Rattus norvegicus: one gene and its partners. The protein of the gene in region 1 purifies or fractionates together with the protein of each later gene. This does not show direct contact. Links are inferred from orthologs where the notes say so. Each region holds a gene or a part of one and is shown on either strand. Other genes may lie near its edges.

Region 1 (3,510 bases):
GAGTGTTTAAAGATTTTATTTTATATACGTGAGTACACTGTCACTGTCTTCAGACACACCAGAAGAGGGCATCAGATCCCATTACAGATGGTTGTGAGCCACCATATAGTTGCTGGGAATTGAACTCAGGACCTCTGGAAGAGCATTCTGTGCTCTTAACCACTAAGCCATCTCTCCAGCCCCTATTAGAATCTTTTGAATCCATGAAATTTACTTTTGTAGCTCATTTCAATTCAGAATGGTCATATTTGAAGTACTCAGGAATCACCTGTGACTGGTAGCTAGCTGCTCTAGGTGGACTTTAAGCCATTTGTCTGCTTGGTGATAAAGTCAGGCTTTGGAGTAAATGGGAAAGTATGGACCAGACAGCAGTATCCCGACACGTCTTTTAAAAAAACCACAGTATTCTGGAGGCGGGATGATGGATCTGTGTGTTTAAGGGCAGCCCGCTTTGCATAAAGAGGTTCTAGACAGAGCTACATAGAGGGATCCTGTTTAAGAAGAGCCACTAGGGAGGTTACTGGAAGGTAGCCAGGATGAAATGTTTGTACTAAAGGATTGGGATTGTAGCTCAGTGGTAGAGCACTTGCCTAGCATAAGCCAGGCCCTGGGTTCATTCTCCAGTACTACAAGGACAGAGCCAAAAGAAGTAGTAAACATACAAATCTAAAATAAGAAAATTTTATGTACTTGTGTTTGTGGTACTGAAGAATGTTTTCTTCATTTTCACTTTGACTTGTATACTCTTCTAATGTTATTCAGTGGAATAATTAAGATTAAGTTAGATTTTTTTCCTACTCCTGAGTTTTACAGTTACATCTTTTTATAATAGATTAACTATGGTAGATTTATCTTTTTGCTTTGAGGGTTTTGTTTTTGCTTTTTTGTTTTCTCCCTGTGTCAGGGTTTCCCTGTCTGTCCTAGAACTCTCTCTGTACTTCAGGCTGGTCTTGAACTCAGAGATCTGTCTTTCCTCTGCCTCCTGAGTGCTGGGATTAAAGGTATGCTCCACCAGTACCTGGCGTATCTATTTTATTTGACGCTTGGGTCACCTTAAATGCAATAGTTTTATTTAGATTATTAATTGTTTTTGCAAGGGTACACTGTTGAAGAGCAAACCTAGAGACCCACACATGCTAGAGCCCTTCACAGCTTAGCTGTGTGTGTCCTTTTATTTTACATGGTAAATGTTTGCCTTAATGTGTGTATGTGCTCCATGTGTGTGCCTGGTGCCTGTGGAGGCCAGAAGGGGTTTCACATCTTCTAGACCTGGAGTGACAGATGGTTGTCAGTCACCATGTGGGTTCCTGAACTTGAGTCCTTTGCAGTAGTGGTCAGTGTCCTAACTGCTGGGCAACCTCCAGCGCAGTCTTACTGATTTGCCTATGCTGCTGTTAACCTAGGATCAACTGACCTCTCTGGTCAGCTTCCTGGATGACGGTATTATAGGGAACCCTACTAGGCCCAGCTACTTGTATTTTTAGCTGAATTATCATCATACCAGAAAAGAAAATCGTAAGATTGGTTTTTTTTTTTTTTTTTTTTGTCTTTTCTATCTAGGTTTCTATGATCAGAGATATCCGCGAGCGTGAGATTCGGATCTATACAGACGCAGGCCGTATTTGTAGACCACTTCTAATTGTGGAAAAGCAAAAGCTTCTTTTGAAGAAGAGACACATTGACCAGTTGAAAGAGAGAGAATATAACAACTACAGGTAAGATGGTGACTGAGAGAAAAATACGTGTAGTCAAAACCTGTGATGGAAAGTGTGCCATTTGTCTTCAGGGTAAGCCCAAGGTTGTACAGCCACTGTCACTGCCCAGTTTACGGTATCAGTGCTGGGAGGAATGCTACCATCTGTGGCCATATTTATTCTTCCTGGTTTTTGTTATTAGTTGTACAGTGGACTTGCGTGATTTGTATTGGTGTGAAAGTCTTTGGTGTGTTAAAATGTAATGGTAAATAACCTGTGTGGTGCGGAACATGTCCATATAATGGGACTAATATATTTTGGGGGGAACATTCTTGCCGTATAGGCCAGGCTGATGTGGAACACACAGTGAAATCCTTATTGCCTCAACTTCCTGAGTACAAAGAATATAGATAGTGTGCTACCACTCCTGGCATAAATAAGAAATATGCTAGAAAAAATGAGCTTGTTTTAAAATTTTACTCTAAATAATATCATAAGTATATTGTAAAATAACGTGTAGTAAAAGAGTGAGCATTCTCACTTCATATTTGCTGGTTTTGTCATAATTTTTTCATAATGTTCTTTTCACAAGTAAATATGAGTAATGGGTGGATATATGTATTCTACAAGACCTTATTCTGTTTTATCTACTTTCCATCCTTACTTCACAAGTATAGTTTTTTTTTTTTAAGAATTATTTATTTCATGTATGTGAGTACACTGTAGCTGTGTTCAGACACACCAGAAGAGGGGGGTATCGGATCCTATCCCCGAGCCACCATGTGGATGCTGGGAATTGAACTCAGTACCTCTGGAGGAGCAGCCAGTGCTCTTGTAACTATGAGCCCACAAGTATAGCTGTTTAAAACAAGGTGAATAGCAGCCTAATAGTGTATAGCCCGGCAGCCTTTTCACATTAACAGTCATGTCTGAATTCTTTCCTTGTTAGTACAAACACAAATGGAAGTAATTGTAAAGCAGTAGACTTTGTATTAAGTTATTTCATGACACTGAGTGAACTTTTTAGTTGGCAGGATCTGGTAGCCAGTGGGGTAGTAGAGTATATTGATACCCTGGAAGAAGAAACCGTGATGCTTGCAATGACTCCAGATGATTTGCAGGAGAAAGAAGTAGCTTATTGCTCCACCTATACCCACTGTGAGATTCACCCATCAATGATTCTTGGCGTCTGTGCATCTATTATTCCTTTTCCTGATCATAACCAGGTTGGTTGTAGTTCTGTCTTGTGATTTGTAAAGAATCGGGGAAGTAATCAGTACTAGGGATTAGTATGTCATCTCATCAGGGTGTGAGCACCTACAGACTCCGCTGTGTGACTTGTGTATTAGTCACTTTTCTGTCCCTGTGGTAATATGCCACGGCCAGAGGCAACTTAAAGATAGAAGTTTATTTTGGGTTCTGCTTCCAGAGGAGATAAGAGTCCATGCTGGAGGAGCAGAGGCAGGGGAATAGTAAGCAGTAATCCTTATCCCAAAGCATGAAGCAGAGAGCAGGGTGGGGGATAGCGCATGGCCCCTAAACTCAAAGCTGGTCCCCGTGATGTGCTTCTACTAGCAAGGCCACACTTCCTGAACCTCTGGGAACAGCACTGTTCCCTGGGAGCCAGGGTTCAAATCGCCGACTTGGGGGCATTTCCCATTCACCACCAGTTTTCTTGCTCCTGTTTTTGTTGAAAGCCATAGTGGTTATTACCTGTCTGAGAAATTCATTGTCTTTATTTTTTGTTTCTCCCGTTAGTCCCCTAGAAACACGTACCAGTCTGCTATGGGCAAGCAGGCTATGGGAGTTTATATCA
Region 2 (4,310 bases), on another chromosome or scaffold:
ACTGCAATCCTTACTTGGTGTCTTTGGGATGGTTAGGGATAAAACACTAAGCCTGAACGCAACTGGGGAGGGAAAGGGTCTATTTTGCTTACACTTCCACATGGCTGCCTGTCTTAGTTAAGGTAACTATTGCTACACGTGTGCATATATAGGGTTAGAGTTGGTGAAACAGAAAGATTGGGGAGGGAAGGGTTTATTTGGCATATATATCCACATTTAATGAAGTCAGGACAGGAACCAGGGCCAGGAGCTGATGCAGAGGCCACGGAGGGTCTTGTTTACTGTCTTGTTTCTCCTGGCTAACTCAGTCGGCCATCTTAGAACTCAGGACCACCAGCCCAGGCGTGGCACCTGAGCCCTCTCCCTAGAAAACCAGGCACCTTGGACGCTATAGGCTACAGTTTAGGCAATTCATTGAAACAACCCGTAACAACAAAGGCCTGTTGGATTTGCAGAAGACGCAGTCACGAGTATACGCATCTTGATACAAACATGTTCACACCTCAGGTCATCCACTCAAGTTTTATGAGAATGCTATTTTAAAGGTTTCAGGAATTGCGAAATCCCCAGTCAGAGTGTCTCTTGGCTCCCATTTGTAGGCTTGATATGTGCATCAAGCAGGATCTGATGAGTAATTAGTGCACAGCAGCCCCAGGAGGAGCGAGCAGGCGAGGTGGACATCCTTAATCCACAGTCTAATGCTAGAAACTCCACTCTGAAAAGCGCCGCAGTTGCAAGCAGCCACTGCGCACACTTCTCTGCTGCGTAGCCGGCTAAAGAAGGATCGAGTCTAGGCCGCGACCTGCGCTGGAACTCGGTCTCGTTAAGTCCAGCATTCGCAGTGCTTGACGGGAGGATGAGCAAGACCCGGACCCAAAGTCTCCAGGCGTACGGACCGCTCTGCGGAGGGAGACCTATAGTTTCTCCATGAAAACCTCGCAGTGCACGACGGGAAAGGTGGGACCGAGTTTCGTGATGCATGCTGGGACTGGTAGTCTCTCTTGACGTCAGGACTACAATGTACTATCCAATACAGCGGTCCGCGCCGAATGCCGGCGTCAGAAGACTCCTGTGGTTGGAACTCGCAGTGTACGACGGGAGTTGCCATAGACACGCACTGTATGCCGGAACTGGTAGTCTTGATGCGTCAGGACTAGCAGTGTGTGACAAAAGTCTTGTGACAGCGGTCCGCGTGACATGGCTGTAGTCTCCATACCACGGACTGGCGCCCCGTAGGTGTGGACCAGCGCCTCTTGGCTCCGCGAGGGCCGAGTGTTTATCCTTATCTTGAGCGCACGCAGTCACGCGGATGCACGTCGCCTGTCCCGCCCTCCATGACGCAGCACGCCCCCCGGAAGTGGGTGCGCAGCGAGCGGCGGGTGAAGCCGGTGTCGGAGCGGGAACAGCAGTGTCGCCGCCGCCCGCGGTGGGCGCCGCGCCCTGAGCGCCCGGTGTTTTCGTTTCTCACCTCTGTTGTGACCGTCCGTGCCGCTCGCTGGGTCACGATGGAAGCGCCGCCCTTGGCCGGCGTTCCCACCGAGTGCACTCCGGCGGTGGCCGGGGCAGAGGTGCGCTGCCCGGGCCCCGCGCCGCTGCGTCTGCTGGAGTGGAAGGTGACGGCGGGCGCGACCGTGCGCATTGGCTCGGTGCTGGCAGTGTACGAAGCCGCAGTCTCCGCGCAGCCCGCAGGGCCAGCCCCGGCTCGCGCGGCCTCTGGGGGCTGCGTGCGCGCCTCGCGGACAGAGCGCAGGCTCAGGTCGGAGCGCGCCGGCGTGGTCCGTGAACTGTGTGCGCAGCCAGGCCAGGTGGTGGCCCCTGGGTGAGTGTACTGAGAAAAGGGACACCCGGGCTCTCAGGATGTCGGGGGTGTGGGGTGGATTTCTGGCTACAGTCACAGACTGGGCGTGAAAGCTACGCTAAGGGGCTGCGGGGTGAGACCATAGAAAGAATTGTCACCATTAGTGATTTTGCCAGCCCTGAGATATTTTGAGTTTGAAAACTTCTCGGTGACCCAAGGTTACTACTCCCTTTGGGATATCTTTTGCCTTCGTCCCTCTTCTGTAATTGGTGGACTCCACCTTTGTAAAGTGAAGGCAACTTGGGTGGCTGTGGCCGCGGGACTACTCAGGCAGGTTCCAGGCTCGTTACAGAAATAGAAGCTGTCGGGCGTGTGTGTTTCTACAAACGCTTATAAAACTTTGTGAAACGCCGTTGTAAAAACCCGGTGGTTCTGCAACATAGCCACCGAGAGGGCAGAACCCAGACTGTATCGGGTGATGTACTTGGTCCTCGAAGTCCTGTGAGGACTCTTTAGTTGTCAAACTTGTGTCCTGTCTCTGTAGGATCTTGGTTTGGTTCGGTTCGATCTGCCACTGTCCAGTTTTATGTTCGAGTTTTGCCAGGGTTGTGTTTTGAACCTAAATTAACACGTGGGCATGTGGGTCACGTGGCTGTGATTGTTTTGATTGCTAAGAACAAAAACTACTGGGAGAAGTGAATGCTCCTGCCTACTGTGGGTTGGGCTGAGAACTTCTCTTTGAAGACTATTCTTTCTGCTCCTTTTCTGATGCCCACTGCTCACTTCTTGGACTGGTCAAGTCTCTTCTTTATTGAGTATTTCCTGTCTAGCATTCTCCACAAGGAAAATTTCTATTTTCCACTGATCTTGTCATAGACCGAGAACCCCGCCTGGCTGTCTTCCTGGTCAACTCCCCCTAGTGCTTCTTGGAGATACTGCCTGGGTTCTTGGTTTGTGGACCCTATCCGTACCCCTGCCCACTGGTTTGCTGGATTGCACAACCACCAGGAAAACTTGCTTCTTTGGGACTGACTCTGAGGGACCTGTCTGTCTGGCTTCCTCTGGAAGTGATTCTTGGGATCCTGGGTGACTCACAGTGGCTACCAGTCCAGTGGTGTCAAGTGAGTTCCTGCTTCTGGGACAGTCACTAGCAGCATCACTTTATTTAAAATGCTTCCCTCCCTTTTCCTGTTATGTGCATTTGTGGACAGCATCTTGTCAGCATTCTGGGGAGGAGTGTAGTGAGTTGACATGTGTGCTTCCTGTACTGTTCCTGTATACCTGAAGGTACGTGGGTGACAGGAAGAAGCAAGTTCCAAGGCCTGGACTTAGCTCCATTTGTATTCCCTGTGTCAGTCCTGATAGTTTCTCTGTAATAAATGTCAAGGGCGTTCATAGGTGTCTGGGCGTGGACCCAGGGCTCATAAGAAGGGTAGTACTTTCTTCCCCAGCCACTGGCTCTTCCGGACACCAATTAGGCCTCCCCCAAAATGCCTGTCATACTTTTGCGGAACAAAGTTTAAAAAGAAATCACTGGATTGAGTCACTTTGTACAAAGATCACCATGCACAGAATTGTCTTCACAAGGCACAGCCTGAAGAGCAGCATCCCACTGAGCAGATCTGTGCAGGGCAGGCAGCGGTCGGTCAACAGAGTTCATCATCCATGGTCCCTACAGGCTTTCTGTAGCACACAGTTACACCTAAGTAGGCCTTTCCCCCACAACTTCGCTATACAGGCCAAGTGTCCTTGATCTTACATTCAAAATCTAAAATATTCCAAGGTCTAAAACTAGGGCATAGATGCTCTTGTGTTTTCTAGTGCTTGGCATGTGAGTCCTGTGCAAACACGCCACACTCCAAATAGTCCTGAAACAGCAGCACTTCTGGTCTCCAGCATTTCGAATGAGGGATTTGAATATTAGGAAGTCTTTCTAAAAGGCATCCGTATGTCTCTATTTGAGAAAACAGAGAGTAGTAGATACCATTGGATCCTGGTGTTGAATTGGACTTGCCATGACTGGTAGACCTTGGTCAGCAAAGACCCGTCTGGCTCATACACACCGCGTACGCTGAGCCAAAGCCTTCCGTTTTTAGATTTCTGTGTCTGGCTTTGGTGCAGCCTCATCCAGCATCTGTTCCATCACAGAACTTCTTCACCCCAGGTGGGGGCAGGAAGGGAGGGTGTCAGGAAGGAGCAACCAAGCCTGATAGCCCTAGAAGTTTGCTTCTTTCTGAGCATGTCTCAGAATCACACTCAAGACTACTTTATAATGAACTCATCTGAGCAGTCCTGGAAGTTTGCTCATGATCTAAGTTCTGTTCGTCTAGCAGCACCACTTCTGTCAGTGCTGGATTGCAGATTCATATTCTTAACATCACATGGGAGAGCCAACATTTACTGACATTTGCATTAAACCTTTGTAGAGTGATTATTGTATGGTGGTTCTTAACCTCCACCCACAACATGCACTTTATATAGACTTATGATTGGTGGATTCAGAACTGTTTTG
Region 3 (4,066 bases), about 65 Mb from region 1:
AAAGAGACTTAATTTACATTTTCCCTGTGACACACGTTTGCTCCAAAAAGAGCACTTACACTGAAGTAGGTACCTGCAGTTAACCCCTTACTGATGTACATCCGTGGACCATTCTCTACTTTTATCAAGTCAACACAGAGAAGACACTCAAAAGGATACACAATATTCAGGAGTGATCTTACAAGCGATTTAGGAATGCAGTCAACACCTGTTTTGAATGTAGTTTTGAGGGTATTTAGTTAATTTGAAATTCACTATAGTAAAACGGGGGTTGGGGGACGCTTAACAGAATAACTCTACGAAGGAAAAAAATGCACTCATTTATTTTAGTTTTGAAGGGGAAAATTCGGTAGGTTAAAAAGGATAAGCCCTTTTCCTTACCCTTATTTCTACATTCCTTGATTTCAGGTTAAAGCGTATCTGAAGTCCTAAATGTTCAACAATCGGGGTAAATATCTTCATCCAGTTTTCTTTTAATGGTGTGTATCTGTTAGCTGGGACGGGAATTTTTCTCGTTTCTTCTTTCCCAGTCTGCAATAAAAACAAACACACACTCAGAAGGCGAGTGGAGAGATGCGGGCTGGAAAGGTGAAAACCGAGAATAGACCCTTTCGTCTGCCTGGGCCCCGCCCCGTCCCATCCGGATCCCCACCAGGAGCTGATCTCCCGAGAGCGGCGGGAAGACCGGCCTCTTCGCCGGCCGCGCCTCCTCCGTGTCCATGCGTCCAGCGTCTCCATCCTGTCCCGCCGCTGACGATTGCTCAGCCTGTCGCTTCTTCGCCCGGCGGCCCCCTCTGTGCGTGACGGGAGTAAAGCCGTCCTCCGTCCCGGTGTTTTGCGTCTCCATCTCGGCCATGTTCAACCCGGATAAGTGCAACCACTGGAACACGTGCGAGGTTGTGCCGCGCATGCGCCAGCCTCCACCAATCAATTTGAAGGCTCCGCCCCTTTTCCGAGGCGGGGTCCATGCGGGGGGCCTAGGGCAGGATTGGTCCGCGGTTCGGAATGGCTGCCCTAGAATATGCCTGTTTGCTAATGTCTCCGTGCCGTCTCGCGCTCGCAGCCAAAGCATTCACATTCTCTAATGTGTCTATGTGAAAACGTTGTGGTAAAGGCGGTAAATCAGCTTGTGCCGTGTGTGGAGAAGTATCTGGTGCGGTCTCAGCAGCTCACCCGGCATTTTCGGAGGCAGCCAAGCCCAGCTTGCTAAGGCGTCCGGGTTGAGTGCGGCTAGGGAGGGACAAACTGCCCCTGAGATGTTTGCAGTTTGGTTACCAGGTTAGCGTTTGGCTGCTTCTGCACCATGTCCACCTTCGAGAAGCCTCAGATCATTGTCCATATTCAAAAGGGCCTCAACTATACAGTGTTCGACTGCAAATGGGTGCCCTGCAGTGCCAAATTCGTGACGATGGGCAACTTCGCCCGGGGCACCGGCGTTATCCAGGTGTACGAGATCCAGCGCGGGGACCTAAAGCTGCTGCGGGAGGTGGGTGCAGGCTTGGATCTGTTTGGGTTTGCGTGGGTCTGCATCTCTCTTTGCCACAGCAGAAACAGAAAGGAGATTACAGATTGAGGAATACTTCAGAGTTAAAACTTTAACATCCCAAAATCTCCTTGCAGAGCTAGTACCTCGGCTCACTGCCAGCCTCTGCCTCTCGCCATTCTCGGTGCAGTCGATTGCAGGGTTTCTGGGAAGCCAAGTGGACATTGCTTGGCAACGTTCGAGGACCATTTAGGCTGTTGGCAATTGTTGTAGTCTACTAGTAGGTCTATGTAATAAACCCACGTGCCATGCCAGCAGAACCAAATGAGGCACCAGCAGGAGACCTACCACGAAGTTGGTGAAGACTAGTAAATACCCCATTCTTTCACAAAGTGTCAGTTCAATGCCTGGTAAGGCCCAGACATGGGAATTGCAATGCCAACGATCTTACGGAATTTATTTTCTGTTGGGGGAGACAGTCAAACAGCCAGACCAAGGATGCATAATGTAAATCAAGATGAGTTTTCTAATACACAGGTCTGTGAAAGTAAAAACAGATTTAGGATGAGTAGTAAGCAACTAAGGCAAATGCAGAGTAGAATATGACGTTTCCAGAAGAAACAACATGAGATAGTGGTGGAAGATCGTTATCTTTTAAAAAACAAAAACCCAAGCTGGAAGTGGTATTGCACAACTTTAATCGCAGCGTTCGGGGGTAGAAGCAAGAGAATTTCAGTTTGAGACCCTGTTTGCAGCGATCACAACCCCTGTTAAAAAAAAATTACCATACACATATAAAAGGGGTAAGTAGGGACCATTGCAAGATCTGTAAGACATTTAACAGATTTGTCCTTTTTTTTTCTTTAAGAAAAGCAGGACACCACTGAAGAACTTTTAGGAGGATAATGAATGACCAGATTACAGGTTTTGTAAAAGGCTGCCAGGTAGCCAATTACAGAATGGTGACAGTAATTGACATTTTCCCCCTTCCTTCCCCTCTCCTCCCCTCCTTTCTCCTTCCCTTTCCTGTACATGTTTTTTGTTTTTTTTTTTCCCTGCATGTATCTGTGTGTACCATATGCAAGTGCACCTGGTGTCCCAGGAGGCCGTAAGAAGGTATTGGATGCGCTGGAATGGAGTTCCGGTGGTTGTGAGTTACCTTGCGGGCCATTCTGCTCTTAATCACCAGGTTGTGTCTTCAGCCCACACTGTTCACGCTTTAAAACTCTTTCTTTCCTTTCTTTCCGAGATGGGTGTTTTCTGTTATCCAGTTGGCCTCAAACTGTTAAACCAGCTTCTCAGGGGGCTGGGATTCAGGCCTGGAGCCACAGTGCTGAGTTGTGGCTAAGGAACAATTTTATAGTTCCTTAAGGTTTTCAGAATGTTTCTATTTGGGTTGACTGAAACAGATAACAGTTTGTTGTTGAGGTGCTGAGAGTTGATAAGAAACTAGGGCAAGTAGGAGATAAATAAACTTGCATGGCAAGCTATGTGTTCCTTCCCTGAGCTTTGCTGAGAGCCTGTTTTCTGGTTTAGTTCCAACTCTATAGCCAGGCATTGGACTTGGAGATTCTAAACATGGTTTGATGCTTCCCGCCTTGCCTTGTGTTCCTCACTGCTTAACGCGCAGTCAACTCTTGCCAGTCCAGGGGCCAGTTCGGATTATCTGATCTCTGCTCAAGGAACCTTTCAGTACATTCCACTCCTATAATACTGACTGTCTGTGGCAGAAATAAACAGTCTGCCGCATAAGCCAGAAAGCAGTGCCTTCTCCTGTGCTTTGTAAAGACCAGTCTCTCAGTACACATTCATTCAAAGAATGAAGACTGAATGAACCTGAGACCCAGTTTTAAATACTGGTGTAGGGATTGCCAATCAGTGTTTCTGGTAAGGACTCTGAACAAGGAAGCATTGGCATAAGAGAAGCCTTAAAGTGAGGGCCAGTCAGCCCTCAGCCAGAAAGCATTTACAGGCTTGTGTTTTGCTTTCCCAAGAATTACAATTTTTTTTATATAGTTTAGTAATAAGTTATTCGAAGTGAAATAGTGTTTATCTCTTCTAATTTCTGAAGAATGCTAGCAAAGTCTTATTTATTTATTCATTTTTAGTGAAAGTAATATGTGTTTATGAGAGAACGTTTAGGAAATATAACTAGGGATAAGAAATTGTCATACCTAACCTGAACCACAAGAATGACGACTTTGATGTTTTGCTTCCTTTTCACTCCACTAGTAATTACTGAGGCTGCCATTAGAGGTACTGGGCTAAAAAAGAACATTTCTAAGGAACACGTTAGAAACAAAGCAACTTTCAGAACTTAATGTTGTATTCGTTTGCGCTGCAGCAGAAAAGCGTGCAGGTTAAATACAGTCAGTGGTTCTCACTGCATCAAAGTTTATTTCTGTGTTTGGTTGCTAATCATGGCTGTGTACAAGATTTAAAATACCCATGCCTTGCTTATTAGAAATGCGACCTTCTGCTAGTTGATTTTGGTGAGTGCCAGAGTTGAGAACTTTTGGACCAGGTAGATTACTTACCTAAATTTTAGGAGGCATACTCATTTTGTTATGATGAATTGCATCA
Region 4 (4,293 bases), on another chromosome or scaffold:
GTTAAAAAATATTCGGAGGCTTTTTTGTTTTTGAAATATTAGGAAAAGCCCAAACAACAAAGCCTGATTTTTAAAACGTGCCACAAGCATGTCACTTCAGATGCCTAGCAGGACAGAATTTCAGCGTAGAGAAAATCCGGAAATGCAGAGCCAACGGGAGAGGCCCTTCAAATACCTAGTCTTAAAAAGGTCTCAATGTTCCAAATTCAATTCATATTTTAGGCAGCGGGTCTTGCAGTTCCCCAACTTCATATGAGAACAAATCTCCAGACTTGCAGGTGCAGATTGAAGACTTTAGGTAACGTGACGGGCTGAGAATGTTTTCCGACACAATACTGGCAAAGACTGAGAGGCGGGTTTCCCAGGAACCTATCCATTCTCTGGGTCACCTGCGAAACGTGGTCATCCCTTTTCACTTTTAAAACGAGGGCAGTGGATTGGGGTTTGGAAAGCCCCTTTTATTTCTTAATATAGTCTAGTTAGTGCCTTAACAATTTGAAGACGGAACTAGGTTGGAGAGGACAGTTGCTTTACTAGTCTACATTTGAGTTCCGCTTCGTGTTTGCAGGGCTGGCTTCCTCTTCGGTGGATCCTCTGACCAGCTAGAGCCGGAGCCGAATGACTGGCCGGGATTAATACCAGGTCATAAACAACCTCTCACTTCCCCTCCCCCTGGGCCGCCCCAAGGCCCGGCCTGCTGCCGCCGCGTGGGCCTGCGCGGTCCCGTATCCTTCGTCAGTTCACCCTTCTCGGCCCTGCACTCTTAATCACGACACAGAGCCCTCACCCACAGGTTGGGGGCGGCTTCCACTTCCCTTCTCCCGACCCTGTCACGGTGCACAGCCAAAAGGCCGGACGCCCTGACACACACGCCTACAGCCCGCTGCCGCCCTACGCGCGCTGACGCAGTCCCCGGCCCAACCCGCGGTGCTTCCGCGGCCTGTCCCCGCCCCTTCCCGGAGCCCGCCTCCCGGCTGCGGGCCTCGGGCCGTCCGCCTCCCCTTGCGCTGGTTCCAGCGTGCACCCGCTGCCCCGCCTCTGCGCGTGCTCAATAACTGTCCTCTCAGTCGGCCTGCAGGCTTCCCCCGCCCCTGAGCTGTTTGAATATGCTAATGAGGCTGTAAGGACCAGCCAATAGGGCAGAGGGTCTCTGGATCACATGACTCGAGTACGTGTCAGGGGCGGAGCCTACGTAGCCCCTGCCCGAGTTAAAACCGGAGTGTGAGAGAGAAAAGCGCTTCAGTAGCGAGAGGGGCTGAGAAAGTGGTGACACCGCTGGGGTGCGGAGGGAGTCTCTCAAACTTCTCTCAACAGCCCCAGGGCCAATCTCCCCTCAGCCCACTCCCCTGTTCGCCAGATCCCTGGTCCCCACTCCCTGCACTGGGGGTGGGGTGGGGAACTGGGCCCGTCTCCCGCGGGGACACACACAGGGGCCGGGAGTGGGGACGGGACCCCCAGGCCGGGGGGGACGGACGGACAGACGGCCGCGCGGCCGCCCCAGCGGGCAGGCAGGCCGGAGGCGGGGGTACGGCCGGGTGGACCTGGGCTGGGGAGTTTCCTCTCAACTATCGGGGGAGAAACTCCCCATAGCCGGTGTTTTCCTCCCGGGGGCCGCGTTCCCCGCCCCGCATATCGGCGGTTGCCGCCGCCGCTGGTGCCTCCACCTCTGCCATCTCTTCACCACCTCGGGCCCCGGTGTCCCCGGCCAGCACTATGCCCATCTTACTGTTCCTGATAGACACGTCTGCCTCTATGAACCAGCGCAGCCATCTGGGCACCACCTACCTGGACACGGCCAAAGGCGCGGTAGAGACCTTCATGAAGGTACCGACTGACCGAGCCCGGGTGGCGACCCCGACCCGGTGGCCCGCGGGGGGCAGGGCGGGGGGCAGCGGGTTTACTGCGGGCTCCGCGGGCGCGGGGACCCCTCCCCCACCGCGCTGGCGGGCGGGCGGGCGGGCGGGCGCTGGGAGCGGGCTCTGCTGGGCCTGGCCCATGTGGGGCTGCTGTGGGTGCGGGGGGCGGCGGAGGGACGGCCCTGCGTGTGCGGTACTGTGGGGGCGGCCAGCGACCCTTCTGTGACTGGTAACCTCGCCTCTGTGCTTCCCTCTCTCCCGCCTGTCCCCACCCTGGCCCGCAGCTCCGTGCCCGGGACCCTGCCAGCAGAGGAGACAGGTATATGCTGGTCACTTTCGAAGAGCCGCCCTATGCTATCAAGGTAACAGCCCTCGCCCTCCCCCCTCCCTTCCCTGCTCCTTCCTAGCTCGCCCTCCCCGCCCCCTCTTCATTATGCTCCCCTCCCCCACCGCCGCTCCCGCCTCCAGGTCCCTTCCCCGCGGCCTCCCGCCCCTCCCCAGCTCGGGAGCGCCAGCGCGGTGGCAGTTTCTGGCCCACCGCCGTCCCCTCCGGGTCCAGCTCGGCCTGGCGGCGGAGGCGCTACGATCAACATGGCCGACATTTCCCCTCCGCGGCGTGAGCGGCAGCAATGAACTGTGGGGGATATTTATTCAAGTTAGCCCGAGTGACAGCGGGGCCCAGCCTTGCCTTGCCCGGTTTTGCATTAAAAGGGAATCAGCCAAGCTGGCAGGGAAGCCAGGAAGGGGGCTTCGAGACTTGGTCATCACTGAGTGGAACTAGGAAGGCCACAGATCGGTGGGACAGCTGTGGTCAACTTAAGAAGTCCTGCTGCCATCTGCCTTCCACTAGCACCTTCGAAACACCCACCCCTTACACACAATTTGGAGGATGTTATATTAGCAAATTTCCCAGTTGAAGTTATTAAAGTATTAAGACGGTTGTTACTTAACAAAAGGTGTAGGGGCGAGCAGATTGATTCTTGGCCACCTTTGGAAGAGTTTCCTCACCAGAGACAACAGTTATAACACATTCCCCAAACTGTATCAAGCAAAAATGAAGTTAAATATACAAACCCAAAATGGAATACCTGCTTAGTGGACATCACATTATAATCGGTGTCCATGTGTGTACATGGCTTCAACTGATAAAAAAAAATCTTACATCTTTCTTTTCAGGCTGGATGGAAAGAAAACCATGCAACGTTTATGAATGAACTGAAAAACCTTCAGGCAGAAGGACTTACGACTCTTGGCCAATCCCTAAGGACAGCTTTTGATTTGTTAAATTTAAATAGATTAGTAACTGGCATAGACAACTATGGGCAGGTAGGTTGAATACTAAGGTAGAAAAGAGTTGTTTTTATTTATGTGTACAAAACCACAAACCAGTCCAAAAGTATGTAACCTGGAATGCAAGTATAAAACATTCGAGGTTGAAAAACAGTGCACACAGTTCAAAACACCTAAGGTGTATGGTCTTACATCCCCAGTCCCCCTTTAAATGTATCTGCATTCAGAATTCAAACCTGAATTCTTGGCTAGAAAGTTGACACAAATTTGGTTTCAGTCCCTCAAAGTTCATAAAAGACACACAACGGAAGATGTCCTGTCTCAGTGTGCTGGTCTGAAATTTCTTGTAGGCACATATGTAACTATTGAATAGGTCACAGCCAGTATTGCCTCTGTATTATAGAGATGTTGGGCAAAATGATTGTTAGCCGAGGGTTTAGTTTAGCCTAGACGGTGTACTCAGAAAGGCAAGGTTTTACCATAGAGTGCAGTAACTGGTTGACTACATTCATTATGAAGCTGAAAATAAATGGCAGATTCTTAATTTCTAAAGTTTAAAATTCCAAGACTGTGGGAAGATGTTTCCTGGAGAACCTGAAAGCCTGCCTGTTTTCCTGAAGCTCCCCATAAGTCCTTTTTTTCATCTGTTGAGGATAGGGCAAGAGCTTCAAGTCACAACAGTCATTCACCACAATGTCGATAACTTTTATGATATTGCTGTCCTAGAAATACAAGATAACCAAAGAATATGCAGTGGTGTACACAAGGAGTAATATCACACCCAAGGATTTCAGTATGCAAAGCACTATTACCATAATGCTATATTTAGGAATATATGTTATACACTTTTCCCAAGTTCCATAATGCACAGTTCTCATGAATTTTGAACATGTTAAGGAAAATTTCCAGTGACTTCAAGCTATATGCCTCAATTGGGAATAATTCTTAAACATCTTTAAAAACTAGTTGAATTTAGTCCTTATAGCATTTAAAGTATGCATTACAAATCAGGCTTATCTGAAAATCATTTCCATCATTTAGGTAACTATAGTAACACATTTTTTTGTTGCTTTATTTTATAATTCTTGCCACTTGTTGGTCAGTTTCTGTAAAAGCATTTTTTTCCTTTGTTATATGTAGTGCTGTT
Region 5 (4,009 bases), on another chromosome or scaffold:
AACTCTGTCCCCGTTTTGTATTTTTTCCATGAACATCCTAAATATGTGTCAATTACCAAGTGGTGGAGCTCATAACTGGGCAGATCAGAGCAAGAGCAGAGATCCCTGCACCAACATGCGGCTCTTACCTGGGCCCTGAACAATCACAGAGACAATGCAAATGGCCGGGCACCCCTCAGCAAGAAATGGAGGACAGTGCTCCAGGCTGATTCTACAAAGAGATTCTGCAAAGCTAGCCCCTAGAACATATACCTAGTTGTTTTTGTGGATAGTCACTGACACATTGCATCTAGGGAAACACTCCCCTCCTCACTCAGAGATAAGTTCTCAACTCCAGCCACAACAAGGTCTCCTATCACTACAGCCCTTTGAGATACACACTCCAAGCAACTTACTCACAGGCCAATGAGCACTTAGGACCAAGGGAAGATTCAAGAAACTAAAGTTGGAGGCCAAGCATGGTGGCACATACCTTTAATCCCAGCATTTGGGATTAAAGCAGGTAAAAGCAGACAGGTTCTGTGAGGACACCCTGGTTTACATACATAGTGACTTCCAGAGACAGTCTCAGAAAAAAGACACAAACTAAAATTTGGGCCCTCTATCTTCCTTCTTCTATCCCCAAAGGGTCTTTTAGTCAGACCCTTACCTAGCACTTGGACCCCACCTGATCTACAACATCATGACTACCTGTCAAAGCACTTGCTGATCCCAACACTCTCACATGCAAGCAGTCAGGATCTCTGAGAAGATCTCAGCAAGGAGTTACACAGGTGTAAGATTTACAATGTGGAAGAGAGGAGCAGTGATAGTGCAAGCATTTAATCCCAGCACTCAGAAGGAAAAGGCAGGAGAATCTCTGAGGCCAGCAGCATGGTCAAAGAGCAAGTTCTAGGATAGCCAGACCTACACAGAAGAGGAACCCTTCTCGAAAAACAACATCAAAAAGATTACACTATACACTATAGCTTCAGCAAAGATGCAAAAGCCATCAAGGCTATGTTTTCCTATCACTTATTTTTACCTTTTAATATCCTAATATATCAATCATGTGATTAGTCAGCTATTACCAATCACTGGCAAAAAACAAAACAAAACAAAAAACCCTTAAACCCGCCCCCCAAAAAAGAAAGGTTTTCTAGAAGATTTTTATCTAGCCTGTCTCTATTCCACCACAAAAAAAAAAAAAAAGTCTACAATATTTACTAAATTACTATCGACGTGATCCTAAAGACTAGGAAGAGAATAATTTTGAATCTGGCAAGTAGATTCTCATAGAAACTAGAACATCTCTATTTCTACCAAGACCACACAAACAATGTGAATTATTCTGAACACACAATACAGCACATTGCTACAAGTAACTAGCCAAGCATAGGCAAGGGAACCCAAAAAGGTTCAAACCTCTGTTACCTGGTCCAAGATGATTTTTTTTCTTCCATCCTGGGCATATTAAAAAGTGATCTCAAAAGCCACTTCCTGGTTTCCCAGCAAACACTTCATATCTGAATGCCTGTGCATCTTCCCATGGCCCTACTCCTGACAGCAACAAGGACACCCGCCCCCTGCACTGCCAACAAACCTTTGGAAAAAATACAAGAACAAGTAAAATTAGTCTACACTCACACAGGAAGAAAAAAGGCGTCCTACTGCTCACAGGACTCTTGACAGAGGAAAGTGTGATCCCTTACAATTAAATCTTGACAGCCTAGAGTCCAAAGCACCTCAGGTGGAGCAAGAGAGATGGAAAGAGGACCGGAAGATAGGGATAAGAGAACAATCTACTGTGATCGGCAGTATTTCAGTACTAAAATCCCAGGCTTTAGCTACTGGTCAGACGCGCAATGGAGCATTTAGGCCAAGAGAGGTGACAGGAAGGGTCCCACTCTCTGCAGAGTCGTCTTTTCTAGGAAGCGACCCACTATCAGAAGAGAGGATACTCTCCAGGCATCACAGGAAGACAGACTGATGGCAGAACAGGCCTAGGGTTCCCTACGAATCCAAGAAGGGGATTCGCTAGAAGACCGAGGGGGAGTAAAGGCCAAGACTCCAGAGACGCGGGCTACCCGAGTCATCGCGGAGACACCAGTTGCTTTCTACCTTGTCCCCCGGCAGGGAGACCTTTCCGGGGGGTTCTCAGTTCCCGGGGTTGGGGTGAGGCAAGAAGGGCACGGTGGGGAGCACCAAGGGCAGCCGGGCTGGGACAACCGAGGAGAACCAGCTCTCATCAAAGCTCCGAACGATCCCTCAGTCCAGGCCGCGTGAAGCCTCGGCCTCAGGTACCCTCAGCTGCCGGGGTACCCGCCTTGCCTTCGGCCTCCGGACCCAGGAGAACGAGACACCGAGATGGCAGCGGCCGTGGCGGGCAGATCACCGCCCGGAGAGAACCCCTGGCAGGGGCGCGTCGGAGGGGGAGGGTCCCGACACATGCGGCCTCGGTCCCCGATCGCGCGGCAGTCACTTACGTTGCTCTGGGAGTCGATGGCCTGTAGCAGCCGGTCCCTCATCTGCTGCGGAGACGCCGGAGCCGCTGTCATTGCCTGGGCGAAGCGGGGGGGAGCGGCCGGGCCGGCGGGCGGGCAGGCTGAGGAGGGGGGACGCAGGTCAGTCACTCGCCGGCCTCCGGGAACGGAGCCGCATGTTCCCCGCGGCGCCAGAGGAGGTCGAGGCGCTCGGGGAGATGGCGGAGGACGGAGGAAAGCGGAGGGGACCGGAGCTCAGGCCCCGGACCGCCGCCGCCACCGCCGAGCAAGGAGGAGGAGGAGCCGACGGAGAAGCCTCCGCCACTACCGCCGCCGCCGCCGCCTCGAGAACCAAACTCCAGTGAGCTGCCCCCGCGCTGAGCACTCTGGGTAACCCGCGCCGCACGCAGCGTCGGCGCCACGCTGAGGAGGTTGGGAGATGGGGGCGGGTGGAGACGCCGGGTTTGGGAGGGGCCGGCTTGTGAGCCCCGCCCATTGATTCTGCGCACGCGCACGCATGCGCACTTATCAGGTCCTGCCGCCGGGTTCTAAGGCCGGATCCAGAGAGCCGTTGGGAGACGGTTGGGCGTGGCAACGGACGCTATCCGAAGGTCACGCCCACTCCGGACTAGGGGGCGGGGCTTCCTAACGGAAGCTCACATGCCAAGTCCTGGAACACCGGCTCTTCCTGCTAACTGCTTTGGGGTTGCGGAATGGTAAGACCCTCCACCGGATGAGGACCTCTAGCTTTGAGGAATCAGAGGATTGGAGCGGCCATAGGGACACTAAGAAGGGCAGCGGTTGTCTGCGTTGAGACCCGTGCGGCGAGTAGCTCGGAGAATCTAGGCGCAGCCGTCGCCGCTGCAGAGGCCCCAGGCGCGGATCTGCAGGGCAGTGAGTGTCCCCATGTGACCCGCGCGCTGCTGGGACCTAAGGGCACGTATGGGAGCTGCCGCCTCCGCCGAGGGCTCGAGTCTGCAAGGCATGCGCGACGCTGACACCTTGGCTGTGCATCCACGAGGGGCTGGAACTCAAGAAGAAGCACCGCTCTTTTTTTTTTTTTTTTAATTCTTTTTTTCGGAGCTGGGGACCGAACCCAGGGCCTTGCGTTGAAGCACCGCTCTTGTAGCCCTCCTGAGAGGCGAACTGGAGGTGGCCAGTCTTTGTCTGCACAACAGGATGCGGAACCATCGCTCAGCATCGTCCCCTCCGCATTCGGAGCGGACGGAACGATCCCTGCTTTGCACCCCAGCCACTGGAAAACAGGAACGCCTCACCGAGGAGGAAGGGAAGCGCCAAGGTCACCGTGAGTTTTAGGTCAAACCAAGAAACGAAGGATATCAAGTATAAGGGCTGTGGTCTCCGGCAGGTGGAGTGGGAGGGCGGGCTCCGAGTTTAGCGCACTGTATTACAGTGGCTTCGGGAGAAATAACTTTCGTTTTGTGTCGTAACCTTAAAAATCCAGACATGAAACGGAAGGGAAACAGGTAATGAAAATCACATGTACTCCTGAGAGCTGCGGGACACCTGTTAATTTTAATTTGTTA

Evidence for each region.
Region 2: the proteins of Polr2b (region 1) and Ctdp1 purify together in Homo sapiens (affinity purification with mass spectrometry; 3 studies listed by BioGRID and IntAct, with this or other methods). This does not show direct contact. The link is inferred for Rattus norvegicus from reciprocal best matches to the Homo sapiens genes POLR2B and CTDP1.
Region 3: the proteins of Polr2b (region 1) and Dnaaf10 purify together in Homo sapiens (affinity purification with mass spectrometry; 3 studies listed by BioGRID and IntAct, with this or other methods). This does not show direct contact. The link is inferred for Rattus norvegicus from reciprocal best matches to the Homo sapiens genes POLR2B and DNAAF10.
Region 4: the proteins of Polr2b (region 1) and Ints6 purify together in Homo sapiens (affinity purification with mass spectrometry; 3 studies listed by BioGRID and IntAct, with this or other methods). This does not show direct contact. The link is inferred for Rattus norvegicus from reciprocal best matches to the Homo sapiens genes POLR2B and INTS6.
Region 5: the proteins of Polr2b (region 1) and Med26 purify together in Homo sapiens (affinity purification with mass spectrometry; 3 studies listed by BioGRID and IntAct, with this or other methods). This does not show direct contact. The link is inferred for Rattus norvegicus from reciprocal best matches to the Homo sapiens genes POLR2B and MED26.

The regions. Positions count from the first base shown.
Region 1 is NC_086032.1:31,165,221-31,168,730, reverse strand, and holds part of Polr2b (DNA-directed RNA polymerase II subunit RPB2), read left to right. Parts: intron 1-1,560; coding exon 1,561-1,715; intron 1,716-2,721; coding exon 2,722-2,920; intron 2,921-3,452; coding exon 3,453-3,510. UniProt on the Homo sapiens protein: Catalytic core component of RNA polymerase II (Pol II), a DNA-dependent RNA polymerase which synthesizes mRNA precursors and many functional non-coding RNAs using the four ribonucleoside triphosphates as substrates.
Region 2 is NC_086036.1:76,187,404-76,191,713, reverse strand, and holds the start of Ctdp1 (RNA polymerase II subunit A C-terminal domain phosphatase), read left to right. Parts: upstream 1-1,505; coding exon 1,506-1,819; intron 1,820-4,310. UniProt on the Homo sapiens protein: Processively dephosphorylates 'Ser-2' and 'Ser-5' of the heptad repeats YSPTSPS in the C-terminal domain of the largest RNA polymerase II subunit. This promotes the activity of RNA polymerase II.
Region 3 is NC_086032.1:95,819,011-95,823,076, forward strand, and holds the start of Dnaaf10 (dynein axonemal assembly factor 10), read left to right. Parts: upstream 1-1,261; 5' UTR 1,262-1,303; coding exon 1,304-1,486; intron 1,487-2,020; exon of another isoform or gene 2,021-2,561; coding exon of another isoform or gene 2,562-2,672; intron 2,673-4,066. Other genes in the region: RNA-binding protein PNO1, read right to left, coding at 382-531, 653-856. UniProt on the Homo sapiens protein: Key assembly factor specifically required for the stability of axonemal dynein heavy chains in cytoplasm.
Region 4 is NC_086033.1:41,175,310-41,179,602, reverse strand, and holds the start of Ints6 (integrator complex subunit 6), read left to right. Parts: upstream 1-1,488; 5' UTR 1,489-1,713; coding exon 1,714-1,824; intron 1,825-2,140; coding exon 2,141-2,218; intron 2,219-3,032; coding exon 3,033-3,182; intron 3,183-4,293. UniProt on the Homo sapiens protein: Component of the integrator complex, a multiprotein complex that terminates RNA polymerase II (Pol II) transcription in the promoter-proximal region of genes.
Region 5 is NC_086034.1:17,332,566-17,336,574, reverse strand, and holds the start of Med26 (mediator of RNA polymerase II transcription subunit 26), read right to left. Parts: upstream 2,806-4,009; 5' UTR 2,538-2,805; coding exon 2,466-2,537; intron 2,442-2,465; exon of another isoform or gene 1-2,441. UniProt on the Homo sapiens protein: Component of the Mediator complex, a coactivator involved in the regulated transcription of nearly all RNA polymerase II-dependent genes.